3 linked regions of the Mus musculus genome follow. The protein of the gene in region 2 purifies or fractionates together with the protein of the main gene of each other region. This does not show direct contact. Links are inferred from orthologs where the notes say so. Each region holds a gene or a part of one and is shown on either strand. Other genes may lie near its edges.

Region 1 (6,430 bases), on a different chromosome or scaffold from region 2:
TTTCCCTGGGCAGTTGCAAGGTAATCAGAAGTAATTCAAGAGATCATTATTAGATTGCCATATGTGTGCTAGCAGGGAGTAGTATGGCACAGCACTGTAAACAGATGATGCCATCATCTTAAGACTTAGTTATGCAACAAATGTATTACAGCCACTTCGGTTTTGTATCAAAACCCTGAAGCTTCCTAAAGACACCTGTGGGAAGATATAGAAGGAAGAACAAAAAACTGTAGTTAAAAAAAAAAAGAACTTTAAACAATCAGACAGACCCAGAGAGCACACATGTGTATATCCAACATGTAATATCAATGTCCACACCACATTGTTTAGCACATTTTTTCACAATAGTTACTTACCTCTCCTTCGGATTTTACACCAACCACTTTTCCATTTTGCACAATGATTTCTTCAATTGGTTTATTCAACATGTAGGTACCTCCATATATGGCACTTAACCTAAAAAAGTTTTTTTCATCAATTATATTCACAATTATAAGAACTGTTAAAAATCCCCCCCCCCCATTTTTCCGTTTTTCGAGACAGGGTTTCTCTGTATACCCCTGGCTGTCCTGGAACTCACTTTGTAGGCCAGGCTGGCCTCAAACTCAGAAATCCACCTGTCTCTGCCTCCTAAGTGCTGGGATTAAAGGCGTGCGCCACCACCGCCCCGCTAAAATCTCCCTTCTTAAATCTAGATGAACTATAGTATCTACTAATTAAAGGTAGTGGGCCATAAACAAACAGGATATGAAAGTATGAGACAGAATTGCTGGGAAGAAAGGATTTGAGAGGTGGGAAGAAAGGAGATATTGGGAGGTAAATAAAGGCAAAAAAGGGTGACAGATTGTAGATAAAAATGTAAGTATCAGTATAAAAAGAGATCTGAAAATCATGTTAAGCAAAATAGAGACTTAAATCACAGTTATCAAACAGAGGACTTAGATGTGCATACATATATTTCATACATAATGTGACATATTAATAGATAAAAAATGTACATGTGTGCCATATCAAAGTAGAATGTGGTCTCTGTGGGAGAGGAGGACTGAATGGGCAAGGAAAACCCAGGAGAGATTACTGGGAACACAAGAGGAAAGCAGCTCTTTTTTCTTTCATATAAAAAAGAACCACACAGAAAGGGAATAAGTCAATGGTAGAAATCTTGCGTAACCTATAGTAAAGCCCTGGGATCAATTCCCAGTATTATATAAAAAAAGGGGGACCCAAAAACGTGATGAAATTTATGACAAATGAAAATACATCATCCAACCTCAGGAAACACGGTTAACTCCAAGGACCGCACATGAGAGATTACTGCTCATGTGAGCAAACTGTGACCAAGTAGCCAAAGAAATCATGACCTAAAATTCTGATTTTGGCTCTTTTAAAAGTAATCTAAATAATCAAAGAGCAAGACTGTCAAAAACTGAAGAAAACTGGAAAGCCAGATCACTGACAGAAGAGAAAAACCCACAGCTACACACACACACACACACACACACACACACACACACACAAACACAGCTAGAATAACTACATCCCAGGGCCCTGGGGAGAGGCCCAAGCCCTCCAACACTTATGCATCAACTCATTCAAAGTGAATGAGAACAGTTACAGTTACATGAAAAGGCAAAACTGTTGTAAGCAGCCTTTTGTGTCCTTGGGCTACCCAAAGATTTCATAGTTCTCAAAACACATGTAAAATAAGTTTGACATAGTGAGCTTTACAAAATGTAAAACTTCTTATAAAAGGCAAGCCACCAACTGGAAGAAAATACTTGTAGTACGTCGGGTCTGACAAAAGATTGGAACATCAAGATGACCCCCAAAACAAAAACAAAAAACTACCCAAATCTTTAAAACTAGGCAAAAGACTTGGACAATCACAACACAAAATTACAAATGGCTCATGAAAAGGTGATAAAGATTAGTTTTCTAGACATGCAAAATCAAGCTATAGAGCCTGTGAGATGGCTCAGCTGGGAAATTGAACATAGGTTCAATATCCACTGCTGGCAAAAACATAGATTAAAAGTAAAGATAAACCAGGCTTGGTGGCGCACGCCTTTAATCCCAGCACTCAGGAGGCAGAGGCAGGTGGATTTCTGAGTTCAAGGCCAGCCTGGTCTACAGAGTGAGTTCCAGGACAGCCAGGGCTACACAGAGAAACCCTTTCTCGGAAAAAAAAAAAACAAAAAAAACCAAAAAAAACCAAAGCAAAAACAAAAAACAAAACCCAAAAACAAAAAAGGTAAAGATAAAACTGAGCTCTGTAACCCAGGCTTTAAATTCTAGACCATGATAGACAGAGGAAAATGTATCTCAAATCCACTCTGATCAACAAAGTAAGTTCCATGATAGCCAGGGCCACATAGAAAGACTTTTGTCTCAAAAATTCAAAAACAAACAAACAAAAACAACAACAAAAACCTTTTAATTAAAAAAGAAAATTGATAAAGACACTTACTATATATACCTGATATCAAGTTCAAGTCACAGGACCCACTACGTAGGGAAGAACCCATGTCCATCCCACACGTACACCCACACACACATATATTAATAAATATAACCTTAATGCCAATAAACAGTACCAAATAAGTATGGAATAAATAAAATTCCCAGTGTTGTGTGTATAAAAATGGCCCAAGTGCTCAGAAAAGCAGTGGCTTATTACTTTTAAAATCTTACTTTCAACATCAGTCAGCAATATTATCTGTACACAGAACTCTCATAAAAACTTCATTTATAATAGCTCCCAACTGGAAACCTAGACATCGCAAGCAAGGAGTGTGGTATAACCATGTAATCTACACAGTATCGTGACTCTCAATATAGGTGGGTCCTCAGCTCATGCATCAACCTAAAGCCATCTCATCAACACTGCTAAGCAAAAAGAAGCCACAGAGGCGAATGAGCAGAGAATGTAGTTTTCTATGTGGAAGGGGACTAGTTACGATTGACCTAAGGTAACTTTGTGGGGGAGGAAACCATGTTTTTTGTTTGTTTGTCTTGTTTTTGTTTTTCGAGACAGGGTTTCTCTGGGTAGCCCTGGCTGTCCTGGAACCAGCCCAGGCTGGCCTCGAACTCAGAAATCCGCCTGCCTCTACCTCCTAATTGCTGGGATTAAAGGTGTGTGCCACCACGCCCGGCTGGAAACCATTTTTGATGATACACGTCTATAAAGTCTATATACTTTTCAAACTATATTTCACTTAACTGAAGCTTTGTGTTTATTATGCATAAATTTATTTAATTTTAATAAGAATAAAAAATCTCAAAAATAGAAAACAAGCAAATAGCATTTCATTATTGAGAGACATTTTTTGCCTTCACCAGTCAGGATGAAATCTAAGGTCTTCAGGGCTAATGGGTAAAATAGGTACTCACCTTGCAAATCCTTGCGGCAATTCTCCAAGACCATAAAGCGGATACAGGTACGGGCTTTTACCGTATCTTGCCAAAGACTCGCTGTAAAGTTTAATTCTATTAATGGTTTCACAACACGGCTGATCTAAGTAGCTGGGAAAAAAAAAAAGCAAATGAACATTAGAAAAACACTACTTCTTATTGATTTTAAACTCTTTTTCCTGCAGTAATCTCAAAGGACTATCCCCTAATTAAAACAGTCTTAGACTCATTTGCAAATAGACCCTCTTTCCCAGGGCCAGACAGCAACATACAAGTCCTAAGTTTCACACTTAACAGTCTCAGAGTTCAAAGTTTAAAGAAAAACACAGATCTGAAAACCAAACATTCCTGACTGGAATCCTCACCCTTTTTTCTGCTGTTGATACTCTCTAATAAATATCTGATCTAATACAGGAACTGTAAAGTTGCCTAAAGCCACATGCAGGAAGACACCTCCTAGCACTGCTAGACAATAGCTCACAGCCTCTGCACAGCTAGGTGATGAGAGCCATTAGCCTACTTACTCATCTGTTCTGTACAGTGCAAGAGAATGGCCAGTAAAGTCTATAACATCTTGGCCCAAATCAAACTTCTTATACACATCTCTCATGGAGGTCTTCTTAGGATCAACACCCTCGAAAGTTCTAGGATCTTTTTCATCAAAGTTGGCAACATAAACCAGGAACTTCCTGAAACGGCGTTTCTCAAACAGTCCCATTAAGCCTGAAAAATATTTTTTCCAAAAAGCACATGGAATAAGACACTGAGAAAGTAAGACTGTGGAGGCACTTTAAACACCAATGTCATGACTCAACATGACAAAACCTGGACTCTAGTTGCACAACTCTCTAAACAGATCATTCACAGCACTCAATTGCACAGCAGAACCTCAGTAAATGGTACATAGTTTCAGAGTTGAATTCTGTATCTTTTTTTTTTTTAAAGATTTATTTATTTATTTTATGCATGTGAGTACACTGTAGCTGTACAGATGGTTGTAAGCCTTCATGTGGTTGTTGGGAATTGAATTTTTAGGACCTCTCTCTACTTGCTCCGGTCAAGTCCACTCGCTCCAGTCAACTTTGCTTGCTCAAGTCCCTTCTCGCTTCAGCCCAAAGGTTTATTATTATACATAAGTACATTGTAGCTGTCTTCAGACAAACCAGAAGAGGGCGGAAGATCTCATCACGGGTGGTTGTGAGCCACCATGTGGTTGCTGGGATTTGAACTCAGGACCTTTGGAAGAGCAGTCAGTGCTCTTAACCGCTGAGCCATCTTACCAGCCTGAATTCTGTATCTTATCAGGCACAAAATAAGTAACACTGAAAAAAATTGCTCCAAAGGCATCTATACCAATGTTCTTCCTCTATGATGCTTATCTGTAACTCAGCCAGTTCCCAAAATTATGAATGTTGCTTTCTTTCTTCCGAATGCTACAACACACTTAGACCTCATGGGAAAAGACCAAGACACCAAGGAAGAATTAGCCACAACTTATTTAGTGACTGCACTGTATGTCACTTACTTTAATGAAATCTTAAACAATCAGTGCACTGCTCTACACAGCCTAGAGAGATGGCTCAGTGTGGGGAGCCGCCCTCACATTCGCCGTTGCAAGATGACGCTGACATCCTGTGTTCTAAGTGGTAAACAAATAATCTGCGCATGTGCCAAGGGTAGTTTTCCACTCCATGTGCTCTGCCTTCCCCATGACGACAACTCGGCCAATGGGCTGCAGCCAATCAGGGAGTGACAAGTCCTAGGCGGAGGATAATTCTCCTTAAAAGGGACGGGGTTTCGCCATTCTCTCGCTTGCTCCTGAAGAAGTAAGCAATAAAGCTTTTGCCGCAGAAGATTCCGGTTTGTTGCGTCTTTCCTGGCCGGTCGCGCGAACGTGTGTAAGAGCTCAGCAGTTAGGAGCACTTGCTGCTCTTGCAGAAGATCCAGGTTCAGTTAACAACACTCACATGGTCACTCACAACCATTTGTAACCCCAGGCTGATGAGATCTAATGCCTCCTTCTGGCCTCCATGGGCACTAGGCACACATGTGGTGCACACACATATATACAGGCAAATAATGAAACAAAACTTAAAAAAAAAAATCTTTAATTTCAGCACTTGAATGTAAAGGCAGGTGGATCTCTGTGAGTTTTCAGCCAACCTGGTCTAGCAGAGCTACATCCTAAAACCTTGTCTAAAAAATAATGTGTATGATGTACACAGAGAGGCTGAGAGAGACAGGGCAATATATGCAAACCCTAAGCTTTCTCTCTGAGTCAGTGTTCCTACTAACACACAGCTGGAAGAAAGATAAAGATAAGAAAACTCCTAGTTTTATATCCTTTCCCATCCTCTTCTAAACGGAACAGACATTAAAGTTAACTGGTACATAATTGGTAAGTATTTGTGACTAGATAAATGGATGTCTGTGATTCCTTTTCACCAGAAAAATCTCATCATTGTGTTAAATAAAATGAGAATTACTTACTAGATGCCAGGGCTTCTGCTTCAGTGGAAGGAACCTTGTAGATTTTCCCTCCCTTGTAGACAAAGCTTCCCTCAATCACTTTGAAGTCCATGTAACGAGTGACCTCTGTGAAAAGCAGCATCTTCACCAACTGACCTTGAAAAGCCACATAATGCAAACTGTCACTCAAACCTTACTACCTTTAAAAAGAAGCAAAGCTTGCCATTAAAGACTCCCAACTTTGTCCTAACACTGTATAGCAGGTCTTACCAGAAACTTGCAATGCCTCATTTTAGGTGGTGCCGCTAAAATACATACCTTACATACACGCTGAAGGTCAGTGCTACAACTTGTAGGCTAATGAATCTCATCGACTTGGCTGTGCAAAGACCATGAAATGTGAACTGGCAGTGAGAAGAGGTCTGCTTTACTACAAGTGAATTCAGGCAACTTTGCCCCTCTGTTCTACATCAGACACAGACAATTCCAAATATTTCAATTTTTTTTTTTTTAAAGTTTTTCGAGACAGGGTTTCTCTGTATAGCCCTGG
Region 2 (6,430 bases):
CCCTGGCTGTCCCGGAACTCACTTTGTAGACCAGGCTGGCCTCGAACTCAGAAATCCACCTGCCTCTGCCTCCCAAGTGCTGGGATTAAAGGCGTGCGCCACCATGCCCGGCTATCCATTCTTTATATTGGGCTGGAGCCAGTGTCCTTTAACTTCTATGGAATTTCTCTGCAGTTTGAAGCTGTATGAATCAGGTTAGTTATTGTTCTGCTGGCATCCAACTTTCATGTTGATGTGATTATACCCTTCTTCTTGCTCAGTTGATCATTCCTTTTTGGAGTTGTTTTTAGAAACTTTTAAATTCGGGTTAGTCTTGCATTTTCAAGTACCTTTTATAAAAAGGGATTCCTAAAATATAGTACAATACGTATGTGAGACAAACTTTTCTGAATTTCTTAAAAATTTTCTCCCTTTGGGTGTGAAGAGGTGGCTCTGTGCACTGGGGGGGGGTTTAATTTCCCAGCACTCATGCTGTACACACCATAATTTCAACCCCAATAAATCCCATGCCTTCTATATGCTTTTGTGGCTAACAGGCATGTACTTAGTGCACAGACATACATGCAGGCAAAGCACTCATACACATAAAAATAAAATAAAATTTCTCTCTTGGACTTCAGGGATTCAATGCTTATTGTTAATCTACCAAAGACTATAAAGGAATGGGTGAGTTTGCATTAACTACATCCCGAGTCGTCTGCACTTGAAGATTTAGGGTTGCTTGTCTTTAATTTGGGGGTTGTGTGTATAAAGGGTATAAATGGCTGCAGATATGGTCGGGTAGATAAAGTACTTGTAAATGTGAGGACCAGAATTCACCCATGAAAATGCTGTGTAGCTGTGGGGACCCACCTGCAATCCATGGAAGGCAGAGGCACTGGGTTACAGGAGCTCTGTATTCACCGAGAGATCTTGCCTCAGTAAGGTGGAGTGTAATCCAGGAAGACTTTAGCCTTAGGTCTCTATATACACATACTGTACATACACACAAAAAGAAAATGTGTCTGTCTCTCTCTCTCTGTGTGTGTGTGTGTGTGAGAGAGAGAGAGAGAGAGAGAGAGAGAGAGAGAGAGAGAGAGAGAGAGAGAATGAGAATATTCCATGAATTGGTGTTATAAAAATTTAAATGCAAAATTGTGTGTCTAGCCCATTGCATTTCAACTTGATGGGCTGTGTTTTTTTTTCTCCCAAGTACTCTTAAGTCTTTTCCTTTCATGTTTTTTTTTTTTTTTTTTTTTTTTTTTTTTTAAAGATTTATTTATTTATTACATGTAAGTACACTGTAGCTGTCTTCAGACACTCCAGAAGAGGGCGTCAGATCAGATCTTGTTACAGATGGTTGTGAGCCACCATGTGGTTGCTGGGATTTGAACTTCAGACCTTCGGAAGAGCAGTCGGGTGCTCTTACCCACTGAGCCATCTCACCAGCCCTTCCTTTCATGTTTTATTGTTTAGTCATGATGGCCAGGTCTTCACTGATTTTTATGTTTGAAAGAGGGTCTCTCACTATATAGCCCTAGTTGTCCTGGAACTTGCTGTATAGATAAGGACAGTCTTGAACCCACAGAGTTCCACCCCTGCTTTTGCCTCCTCAGTGCAGGGACTATAGGCACTAAACACCATATTTGGCCAGAGGACAACTTTTTATAGTTTCTTCCTTCTATCATGGGTTCTAGGGATTGACTTCTGGTTGTCAGGTTTGCATAGCTTTTGCTGGCCTATCTTGCTTGCTTTTCCCCATTAAAAAATATTTTTATTAAGTGAAGTGTATATGAATGCATGTGCCCAAAGAAACCAGAGGCACTGGGTGCCTTTGAAACTAGAGTTACAAGCATTGGTAAACCACTTAGTATGGGTCCTGGGAATTGAACTCAGGTTCTCTAGAAGACCAATATATCCTCTTAACCATTAAGCCATCTCTCCATGCCCCTTCTCCGCTTAGAAAAATGAGTTTTATTTTAAAGGTGTTTAGAAACATTTTCCTTACGTTATTTTTGCTGAGCCTGAGATAGCACCTCCTTGTTACCCTAGGGCATGGCCGAGCCTGGTCTGTGACAAATACTGCAGCCATGAAGTAAGCTCTGGGCTCTGGACTCTATATTTTTTACCAACAGCCTAGAATAGCCTAGCATAGCTTATGTTCTCAAAGAATTTAGAATTTTGGTATTAGTACTACCTGCTAAACCGTAGGCATTATCTTCTCTTCTGGATTTTTAACATATTTGATACCTGCAATGCAATTTAATAATGTAAGCATTAAATACTGCAATTTAATAATGTAAGCATTAAATACTGCTGGCATCTCAAATCCTAATAATCTACAATTTTCTCCTGTACTTTCTCCCAAGTATGTTTTAATGGAATTGTTTGCCTTCTCTGATTGTTTTCTATAGTGGGACACAGCAGGCCAGGAAAGATTTCGAACAATCACTTCCAGTTATTACAGAGGAGCCCATGGCATCATAGTTGTGTATGATGTGACAGATCAGGTAAGTTTCTAGAGAATGTTACATGTTACCAACAAAGTAGAAAGTAGTGTATGTGTGTGGATTTTGACACAATCTCACTGTGTAGTTCTGGCTGACCTGAACTCACTATGTGGTCAGGCTGCCCTTGAATGCTTTTGAACAGCCCTGAAACTTTTGACTAGAAATTTATTTTTACTAATCGAGAAATAAAAACAACTCATTTTCTTATAGCAAATGTTAAATCTGAACTATCTGAATTATATTGTTAATTTGGAGATAAATTAAGAGATTTACCATACAAGCAAAAGATAAGCGAATATGAATAGGGAAAGAAAATGCTACATTAGCATGATGTCATGTACCTTCAGCTACTTGGGAGGCTGAAACAGGAGCTCAGGAGATTGAGACCTGTCTAGGCAGCAGAGCAAAACCTCATCTCAGTAAAGCAAACACCCAAAGCAGGCATAACTGGTTAATTTTAAATATGTAATCTATTACCATAATTTGTTTGTTCTTCAAGACAAGTTTCCCTGTGATCTTGGCTGTTTATAGACAAACCTGACCTTGGGCTCAAAGATCTGCCTGCCTCTGTCCCCTAAGCACTGGAACTAAAGGCATTCACTACCATGCCCAGCATATTTTTATGTGAAAAAAACAAGGAAAATTGTCACCTGTTTTTTTATAAGATTTCTCTTCCGCATCCCACATCTTGTTTGTAGTGGGGTTTAAGATCAGGGCTTTCTGTATGCCCAGCAAATTGTCAGCACTGAGGTGCACCTAGGCCAAATAATAGTAGCGATACTGTTGTTTTTCATAACCAGTTTTTTGTTTGTTTGTTTTTGAGTCAGGATCTCACAGTGTAGTTCTGGCTGGCCTGGAGCTCAAGAGCTCAGTCTGTATCTGTCTCCCAAGTACTGGAATTAAAGCTGTGCCACTGCACCCAGCTTTTATTTATTTAACAGGATTTTACTGTTTCAGAAACTAGGTCTTGACAATATTTTAAAATTTCAATTTAAAATTGGGCTTGCCTGTCATTAAACTTCAACTGTTTCCCCTTCCAAATAAGCTCTTTTCACTTCAGGCCTTTGAGTCTTTCTTATCATTGACGGGGTCATTGACGGGGTGTATACCTCAAGTTAGTTGATTTCTTTCCTTAGTTAGAGCAGCAGTGGCCTCGAGCAACTGCATCACCATTCTTCTCTCCCTAGGAGTCCTTCAATAACGTTAAACAGTGGCTGCAGGAGATAGATCGCTACGCCAGTGAAAATGTCAACAAGTTGTTGGTAGGGAACAAATGTGACCTGACCACAAAGAAAGTAGTAGACTACACAACAGCAAAGGTATGTATGAGGTTTGACTTTGACACTGAATTTAATTATGGGGACTGCCTCACCCTGTAAAAGCCAGTGAGCTTAGTCCCCCATTCCCATTTCAGAAGACTAAGTCAGAAGGATTTTCCATTGTTCACTGTGCCTTATTATTCTCTCAGGAATTTGCAGATTCCCTTGGAATTCCATTTTTGGAAACCAGTGCTAAGAACGCAACGAATGTAGAACAGTCTTTCATGACGATGGCAGCTGAGATTAAAAAGCGAATGGGTCCTGGAGCTACAGCTGGTGGTGCCGAGAAGTCCAATGTTAAAATCCAGAGCACTCCAGTCAAGCAGTCAGGTGGAGGCTGCTGCTAAAATCTGCCTCCGTCCTTTTCTCACAGCAATGAATTCGCAATCTGAACCCAAGTGAAAAAACAAAATTGCCTGAATTGTACTGTATGTAGCTGCACTACAACAGATTCTTACCGTTTCCACAAGGTCAGAGATTGTAAATGGTCAATACTGACTTTTTTTTTTATTCCCTTGACTCAAGACCGCTAACTTCATTTTCAGAACTGTTTTAAACCTTTGTGTGCTGGTTTATAAAATAATGTGTGTAATCCTTGTTGCTTTCCTGATACCAGATCGTTTCCCGTGGTTGGTTAGAATATATTTTGTTTTGATGTTTATATTGGCATGTTTAGATGTTGGGTTTAGTCTTCTGAAGATGAAGTTCAGCCATTTTGTATCACACAGCACAACCAGTGTCTGTCAGTTTCCACGCATAAAGTTTAGTGAGACGTTATATGTAAGATCTGATTTGCTAGTTCTTCCTGGTAGAGTTATAAATGGAAAGATTACACTATCTGATTAATAGTTTCTTCATACTCTGCATATAATTTGTGGCTGCAGAATATTGTAATTTGTTGCACACTATGTAACAAAACTGAAGATATGTTTAATAAATATTGTACTTATTGGAAGTAATATCAAACTGTATGGTGATAAGTATTGTTTTAATTCCTATGATTAAAGGGAAATAGAGCTTTGCATTCTACTCAGCAGCCACGTGTGTGCAGCAAGGGCACTGTAGACCTATCTTAATAGCACAGCATCCAGGGTTTGCTTTCTAGTAATAGGTCTGATGAGTGACCTAGAGAAGCTTTTGTGCTGTGTAGAGACTTCACCACCTTCATTGGTTCAAGGAACTCAAACTCTAGTGCTTCATCTCCAGCCCAGGCCACCTGAAGTGGCTTCACCAGCAACCCTTTTTTCCCTCATCTGTGGTAGAGATGGAGAGCAGCCCATGCTTCCTCCCAGGCAGTGATCTGGTAATAGTGCTGGTGTTTCTTCATGCTCAGTCTGATGGCGCACACACCTTTTTCTTTCTTTTTTCTTTTTGGCTATTGGAGATAGGGTTTCTCTGTGTATCCCTGGCTGTCCTGGAACTCTCTCTGTAGACCAGGCTGGCCTCGAACTCAGGGATCCACCTAGCTCTGTCTCTGAGTGCTGAGACTGAAGGTGTGCGCCGCCACGCCTGGCTTTTTTCCCCTTTCTTTTTTGAGACAGGGTCTTACTATGTAGCCCTGGCTAGCCTGGAACTTAAGTATGTACAACAGGCTGCCTCCCCCTCCCCCATTCACCTGCCTTTTCCTCAAAAGTGCTGGGATTAAATGATGTCCCAGACTGCACCTATTTTTTGAGACAATGTCTCATATAGCTCAAGAGGCCTCAAATTCACTTGTAACCAAGGATGCCCTTGAACTCCTGATCCTCCTGCCTCCACTTCCAGGTGTCAACTTTATTCTTTCCAATTGTATGAATCATGTTGGTGGAGAGTTTAAGCATTAGAATAGAAAGCAGGAAATGTGATTGCCCTAATTGTAGAAATTCTATCTCCCCCCCCCCCCAAATTAAATGAAAACATGAACGCTAGATGGGAATGATGGGAGAAATAATATATTTATTTCGGTGAAATTTTGCATGTGTGAAAGTTTGTTAACTAGGATCTTCGAAATCCTAGACTTTGCTTTTGTCTTACTGTGGGAAACAAAGTCTCTTGCAGACACTAGCATTTTAAGGTGACAAAGGTCAGAGATTGTTTCCTTTGGTTTAAGGAGCAGCCAAGCATTCTTCAATTGGGGGCTAGGGTAGGGTATGGCTGTTGATAACACATTTTATCATGGGGTCTTTAATGATAAAATATTAAACTAAAAATAAGCCAGAAATTACAGGTTTATTTTTCACTAAACAGACAATTGAAATACATGGTACAAAAATAAGTGGTAAGATTATTGTAAATTGAAAAATGGACAGAATAAATATTCAATTTAATTTTCCATCTATGAGAATTTCACAATAAAATCATAGTTTACTTTGTATTATAGATGCGCTTGTTGGGTCTATTCATCCTTATATATAAAAAGGTAACTGGAAACTCCTCAAGTCACCAGGAATTGGGTCAATATCTTTTATTTTTTTGTAGCTGTTGGTTTTTTGTCAATATAAAGGGAGAAAGAGTTCATAAACTGTTTTCTATCATAACTAAATGATACAACACCAATATAGGATGAAATGGTGCCAAGCACTTTAATTTTACACAGCAAAAGTTGTTCAAACTGTCAGCTTATTCTGTTAGCAGAAAACATTA
Region 3 (5,108 bases), on a different chromosome or scaffold from region 2:
TCATTAGGTGCATGGCGCGTCCCGCCTCGCTTGCAGCGCCCTTGTACTGGGCCATGGTGGCAGCAGCGGTTTCAGCGAAGGCAGTGGCGGTTTCAGCGGAGGCAGCGGCAGCGGCAGCGGCAGCGGCAGCGGCAGCGGCGGCGTTGGCAGCGACGACAGCGGCAACAGTGACTTTTGCTTGGAGAAGTCGTGGAGGCGACGGCGACGGCAGTGGCGGCGGCAATTTAGTCAGCTGATGCGTGACGTCAGCCACCAGGGAACGTGCGGACGCAGGCCCTGCCCTACGCCCGCGGCTCTGACACGTGATCGCACCTCGCCCCGCCTCACAGGAGGCCGGACGAGTTCATCCCATACCCAATGCGAAATCACCAGTTCTTTCTGCTGGTTCCTTGTGACATGGAGCTGGGTCCTCTAGCTTCCTGTACACCCTCAAAGTTAAATGCTATCTTAAGCTGGCCCTCCATTCCTCCTAACTTCTTTCTGTTAGTCCCAAGGCTGAGCGCGCTGCTCCCAACTTGGATGATGGAACTGAGAGCCATGTCTCAGTCAGGTGTACCCCTTCCCACGGAGGCTGTTTTTCCTCCTGCTTGGTCACACACTGACACATTTGGTTGCTTGGATTTTTTTGTTGTTGTTTTTTCCGAGACAGGGTTTCTCTGTGTAGCTGACTGTCCTGGAACTCACTCTGTAGACCAGGCTGGCCTCAAACTCAGAAATTGGCCTGTTCTCTGCCTCCCAAGTGCTGGCATTAAAGGTGTGTGCCACCCCTGCCCAGCTGAATTTTTTTAGCTATCATCCAAGGCTAGGTCCAGGTCCCTTTGCTCCCCCAGGACTGAGACTCCTGATACCTCTCCTTTAAAAATTTGTGTGAGGCAGAGGAGATGGCTCAGGCAATGGTGAGTACCCAGAATCGATCCCCAGCATTCAAATAGCTCACAACTGACTGTAACTCCAATTCCTGGAGATACTGGCTTCTGCAGGCAGCAGATATGCAAGTTGTGCACACCCACCTAGGCAAAATAGCCATACACATAAAAATTTAAATGTGTTTGTTTACATGTTGTGCACAAGCCACTGAACATGTGCAGAGGTCATATTGTGGAATCAGTTTTCTCCTTCCACCTTTACATGGGCTCCAAAGATCAAACTCAGGGTCACATAGAAAATATCTTTATGCATTGAACCATCTCACCTGTGCTATTCTGCTTCGGAGAGGTCAGTATAGCCTTGAACCCAAAACCTCCACACTGACTTCTGATTTGGAAACCACTAGTAAATGATGACCCGTCCAACACCAGATGACCTACTTCACCTGCCTTGATCCTTGCGGATACAGTTCTAGTCCAGAAGCTAAATTGCCCCAGTCCTGCAAAACAGCCTTAAAGCAGAGAACCTAAAGAGCCAGGCTTAAGTTTCAATAGTTTTATTGGGAGGTTTTTGTTTTCTGTGAAATATACTAGAGCTTGGGGAAGGGGACACATTCACTTTGCAAGGTAAGGGTTTCCCACCACTAAAGGAAAAGGCATGGGGCAGGGTACACTGGGGTTTGGATCCACTTTCCTACCTCCTTCTGCTTTGCTCACATTACTTTTTCTCAGTGAACACAACACAAAAGAAATTCAAAACAGATCAACCTCCAGAGGGGGTCACACCTAAATCTTCTCCCATCCCAGGCTTTGCCAGCACTGGGAGAGGCCAGGGCAGCTCACTCTACAGCCCTAGGCTGCACAGAAAGGCTGAGGGCTCAGACAATTACTCCAAAGTTAATAAATTAGAATAAATTATAAGGAGGAGGAGGAGGAGGAGGAATGCAATTTTGTGCTGGGAGGGTCCCTTCTCTCCAACACCTAAGAGTTGGGGGAGGAGATGGGTATCTCCAAAGGCCACTACATTTGGGACTAAGAGCAGTGGGGGTGGGGGTCAGCTTTTCCTCCACTCCTTCCCAAACAGCAAAATTGGGGGTGCACGATGCACACACACATGCACACACATGTACACACGCACACACACGTACGTACACACACGTACACACACGCACGCGCGCGCGCACACACACACACACACACACACACACACACACAAAGTTCTCTTTCCCTAGAACAAGGACAGACCAAGAAAGAGGATACTATCCAACTCCCATCTCCCAAACCATCCCTAAGGTTAAGGATATGGTCAGTGAATAAAATCAATAAGGTGGGTGATTGGAATGTGGTAGGGGAAGCAGAAGATGCTGGAAACAAGGATGCCTAGCCATACCATCTCCCCTGCCCTAGAGAAGGACATACAAGTTGGGGAGAGGGGAACAGGGGCTGGAGGAGGGGAGTCAGCAATCACTGATCAGCTTCTCCAAAGACATCATTCTGTTTGCGCTTCATGTTCTCAAAATCAAAGGCAGAACCAGCCATGCGTTTGTAGATATCTTTGATGTCATTGCAGGTTGTCTCAAAGTGTGTGGTAGCATCATAGGAGCAGGAACAGAACACCTGTAAATAGACAGAACCCCAGGGCTCACGGAAGTCAGGCAGAGGATCTTGGATAGACTGCAAGAACCAAGGCTGACTGGGACAGCATTTTTACCTGACTCTCTGAACCATCATCAATGGGCTCATATAAATCACTGATAGCCACAAACCTAAGGGGCAAATAAAAGAAAAGAAAGAAGAGAAAAGTCTCATAATGGGCCTTGCCCATTCCTAATCCCCAACCTCCCCATAAAGTTTGGTTCAGCCTCTCACTTCTGGTCAATGGGTTCCAACAGCTCCAATGCAGGCTCAACTTCCTTTTCTGGTTCTGCAGTCTCTACAGTGGTGCTGGCAATGGCGATGTATTTGCCCTGTGCGGCCACGTTGTGCGCATAGGAGATCATGCACACATAGATGTCTGACCATGGGAAGCCAATTGGTTAACATGTACCAGAGGAAAATGGCCACACACAAAAAGTAGTTCCTAGAGGCTAGACAGGAATCTGGCCCACATGCTCCTGCTCCCAACCCAACATGTAAACAGCATTCAAACTGTCATTTTCATGAACAAGGTAAGAGCTCAAGCCATCCAAGCCGCAGGGATTCTGTAACAAAATGTCACAAGAAGCCCTAAGATTTCTTGTGAGAAGAGATGCATAACAGCCTGGCCTACCTGACTTCCTGTTGACCTGGTTCTGAGGGATGATAATTTGGCAGGAATTGGCATCATTGGTATTCTTGATGGGGTGGCTGAGGATACAGATGATGCGAATAACCTGGCCAGCCTTTTGCACACGGTCTGGGATGTAACTGGGATCACAGATCAGCTGCTTGCAGCGGGCCACCTGTGAAGGTACCAGAAGGGTTTGTACCTGTTGGAAAGGCAAGCCAGGCAGCTCTGAGCTGTCATCACTGTCCCTTTCTTTGAAGCTCAGAGAGATCAGCCCTCATATACAGGGCTAGGTGACCCTACTGCTAAAACACAATGATCACAAAAATGGGCTTTTTTTTTTCTGCTGCTGGAGTTTTTATTTGAGACTGTTTGACCCAAACTAATCTCAACCTCAGGATCTTCTTCACTAGCAGCCTCAATTCTCATGCCCCACCACAGCAGGCTGAAGGATGGTTGGGGGGAGGCATGTTATCTCAGTTGGTAGAGTGCTTGCCTGTTATGCATAAAGCCCCAGGTTAGATTCCCGCAATGCATAAAGCAGGTCTCTTGACACACACCTGTAATCCAGCATCAAGAAGGTGGAAGCACAAGGATTAAAAGTTCATCCTCAGCTACATTCAACATCTGACGCCAGCCCGGGGTACAGGGCACCCTTTCCAAAAGAATACTTTCAGGAATACAAAATATGTGACTTCTGAAGGATACTTCTTGATTGATTTATATTCATCTGCCTTGGCTCCCAAGTACTGGAAAACAGCTGTGTGCCATTACACCTGGCATTTTGAAGGGTATTTCTTGCCAACAGGAATAACTATGTAGAGTTTCCCTGACCACCCAGTCCCTAGCTGTAAGCTTCTCAGGGTTAAGCAGCAGCAAACTCACCAGTAATAAGGCTCCCTAAGAACATAGCCCTGAAAAAGACCAAACCACGGTAATACAAATGTATATGGCAGGCTTACCTCTCCCTCAGATTTGACACCCACCACCTTGCCATTTTCCATGATGATGTCATCCACTGGTTTGTTCAGCATGTATGTTCCCCCATAGATGGCACTCAATCTATAGTAAGGAAAATGACAAGGGAGTCTTCTCAGGAGAATGGTGACCGATCCTACTCTACTCTCCCCACCCCACCAGTGGGGTAAAGAAACTACACAGGTAGACAGAGTTCAATTCCAACTGTTTCAGGTGTCTCCCCCATAAATTTGGGCCCATTTTTGGCATATTCCTTCTTCTCTGCTGTTTCCATCCATAATACTCTGTTCTGCAAATGGGTCAATGGAAGGCAGCATGAAGGAGTAGCTCCACACAGAAATGGCCCAGGAGTCAAGAATAAAGAACTGTCAGTAAAAGAGCCAGCTCCCAGGGAAGCCCAGACTCAAGGTTCTGGGGTCCTAGACTTAGACCTGGTACTACCAAGAGCTAAGGGAAGCTATGTTCATGGTGACCTAGTCCTTTACTTTGTATTTCATCTATTTTTTAAATAAATTTTTATATTTATTTATTCATATGTGTGTTTTATTTACATGTATGTCTGTACACCACATGTATGCCTGATGCTTGTGGAGGCCAGATGAAGGTTTTGGATTCCCTAAAACTGGAGTTATGGGTGGTTGTGAACTACCATGTATGTTCACATTGGAACTGAACCTGGATCCTCGGTATAAACAAGTGCTCTTATCTGCTGAGCCATTTCTCCAGCCTCTACTCTGCTTTTTAATGCACTAGCGCAGTGCCCCCATTACCCAGGGATGGAATAATATACATGAAAATTAGATGGGAAAGTAGGAGATGCCTCAAAAATATTCAAGGTAATTTTCATTCTTGGCCTTAGTCTTACTAGTAATACTATCCGAAAAAGACAGATCCTCACCTGGCAAAGCCCTGGGGCAGCTCACCCAGGCCATACAGTGGGTATAAATAGGGGCTCTTGCCATACCGGGCCAGGGACTCGCTGTACAACTTGATGCGGT

Evidence for each region.
Region 1: the proteins of Rab1a (region 2) and Gdi2 purify together in Homo sapiens (affinity purification with mass spectrometry; 6 studies listed by BioGRID and IntAct, counting the BioPlex papers as one, with this or other methods). This does not show direct contact. The link is inferred for Mus musculus from reciprocal best matches to the Homo sapiens genes RAB1A and GDI2.
Region 3: the proteins of Rab1a (region 2) and Gdi1 purify together in Homo sapiens (affinity purification with mass spectrometry; 7 studies listed by BioGRID and IntAct, counting the BioPlex papers as one, with this or other methods). This does not show direct contact. The link is inferred for Mus musculus from reciprocal best matches to the Homo sapiens genes RAB1A and GDI1.

Annotation. Positions count from the first base shown.
Region 1 is NC_000079.6:3,554,018-3,560,447, reverse strand, and holds part of Gdi2 (rab GDP dissociation inhibitor beta), read right to left. Parts: intron 6,037-6,430; coding exon 5,902-6,036; intron 4,135-5,901; coding exon 3,936-4,134; intron 3,523-3,935; coding exon 3,391-3,522; intron 457-3,390; coding exon 357-456; intron 1-356. UniProt on the Homo sapiens protein: GDP-dissociation inhibitor preventing the GDP to GTP exchange of most Rab proteins. By keeping these small GTPases in their inactive GDP-bound form regulates intracellular membrane trafficking.
Region 2 is NC_000077.6:20,220,691-20,227,120, forward strand, and holds the end of Rab1a (ras-related protein Rab-1A), read left to right. Parts: exon of another isoform or gene 1-1,018; intron 1,019-2,176; exon of another isoform or gene 2,177-2,393; coding exon 2,394-2,489; intron 2,490-3,676; coding exon 3,677-3,808; intron 3,809-3,957; coding exon 3,958-4,155; 3' UTR 4,156-6,166; downstream 6,167-6,430. UniProt on the Homo sapiens protein: The small GTPases Rab are key regulators of intracellular membrane trafficking, from the formation of transport vesicles to their fusion with membranes.
Region 3 is NC_000086.7:74,308,162-74,313,269, reverse strand, and holds the end of Gdi1 (rab GDP dissociation inhibitor alpha), read right to left. Parts: coding exon 5,009-5,108; intron 4,195-5,008; coding exon 4,095-4,194; intron 3,308-4,094; coding exon 3,136-3,307; intron 2,881-3,135; coding exon 2,736-2,880; intron 2,633-2,735; coding exon 2,578-2,632; intron 2,484-2,577; coding exon 2,331-2,483; 3' UTR 1,403-2,330; downstream 1-1,402. Other genes in the region: protein FAM50A, read right to left, coding at 1-55. UniProt on the Homo sapiens protein: Regulates the GDP/GTP exchange reaction of most Rab proteins by inhibiting the dissociation of GDP from them, and the subsequent binding of GTP to them. Promotes the dissociation of GDP-bound Rab proteins from the membrane and inhibits their activation.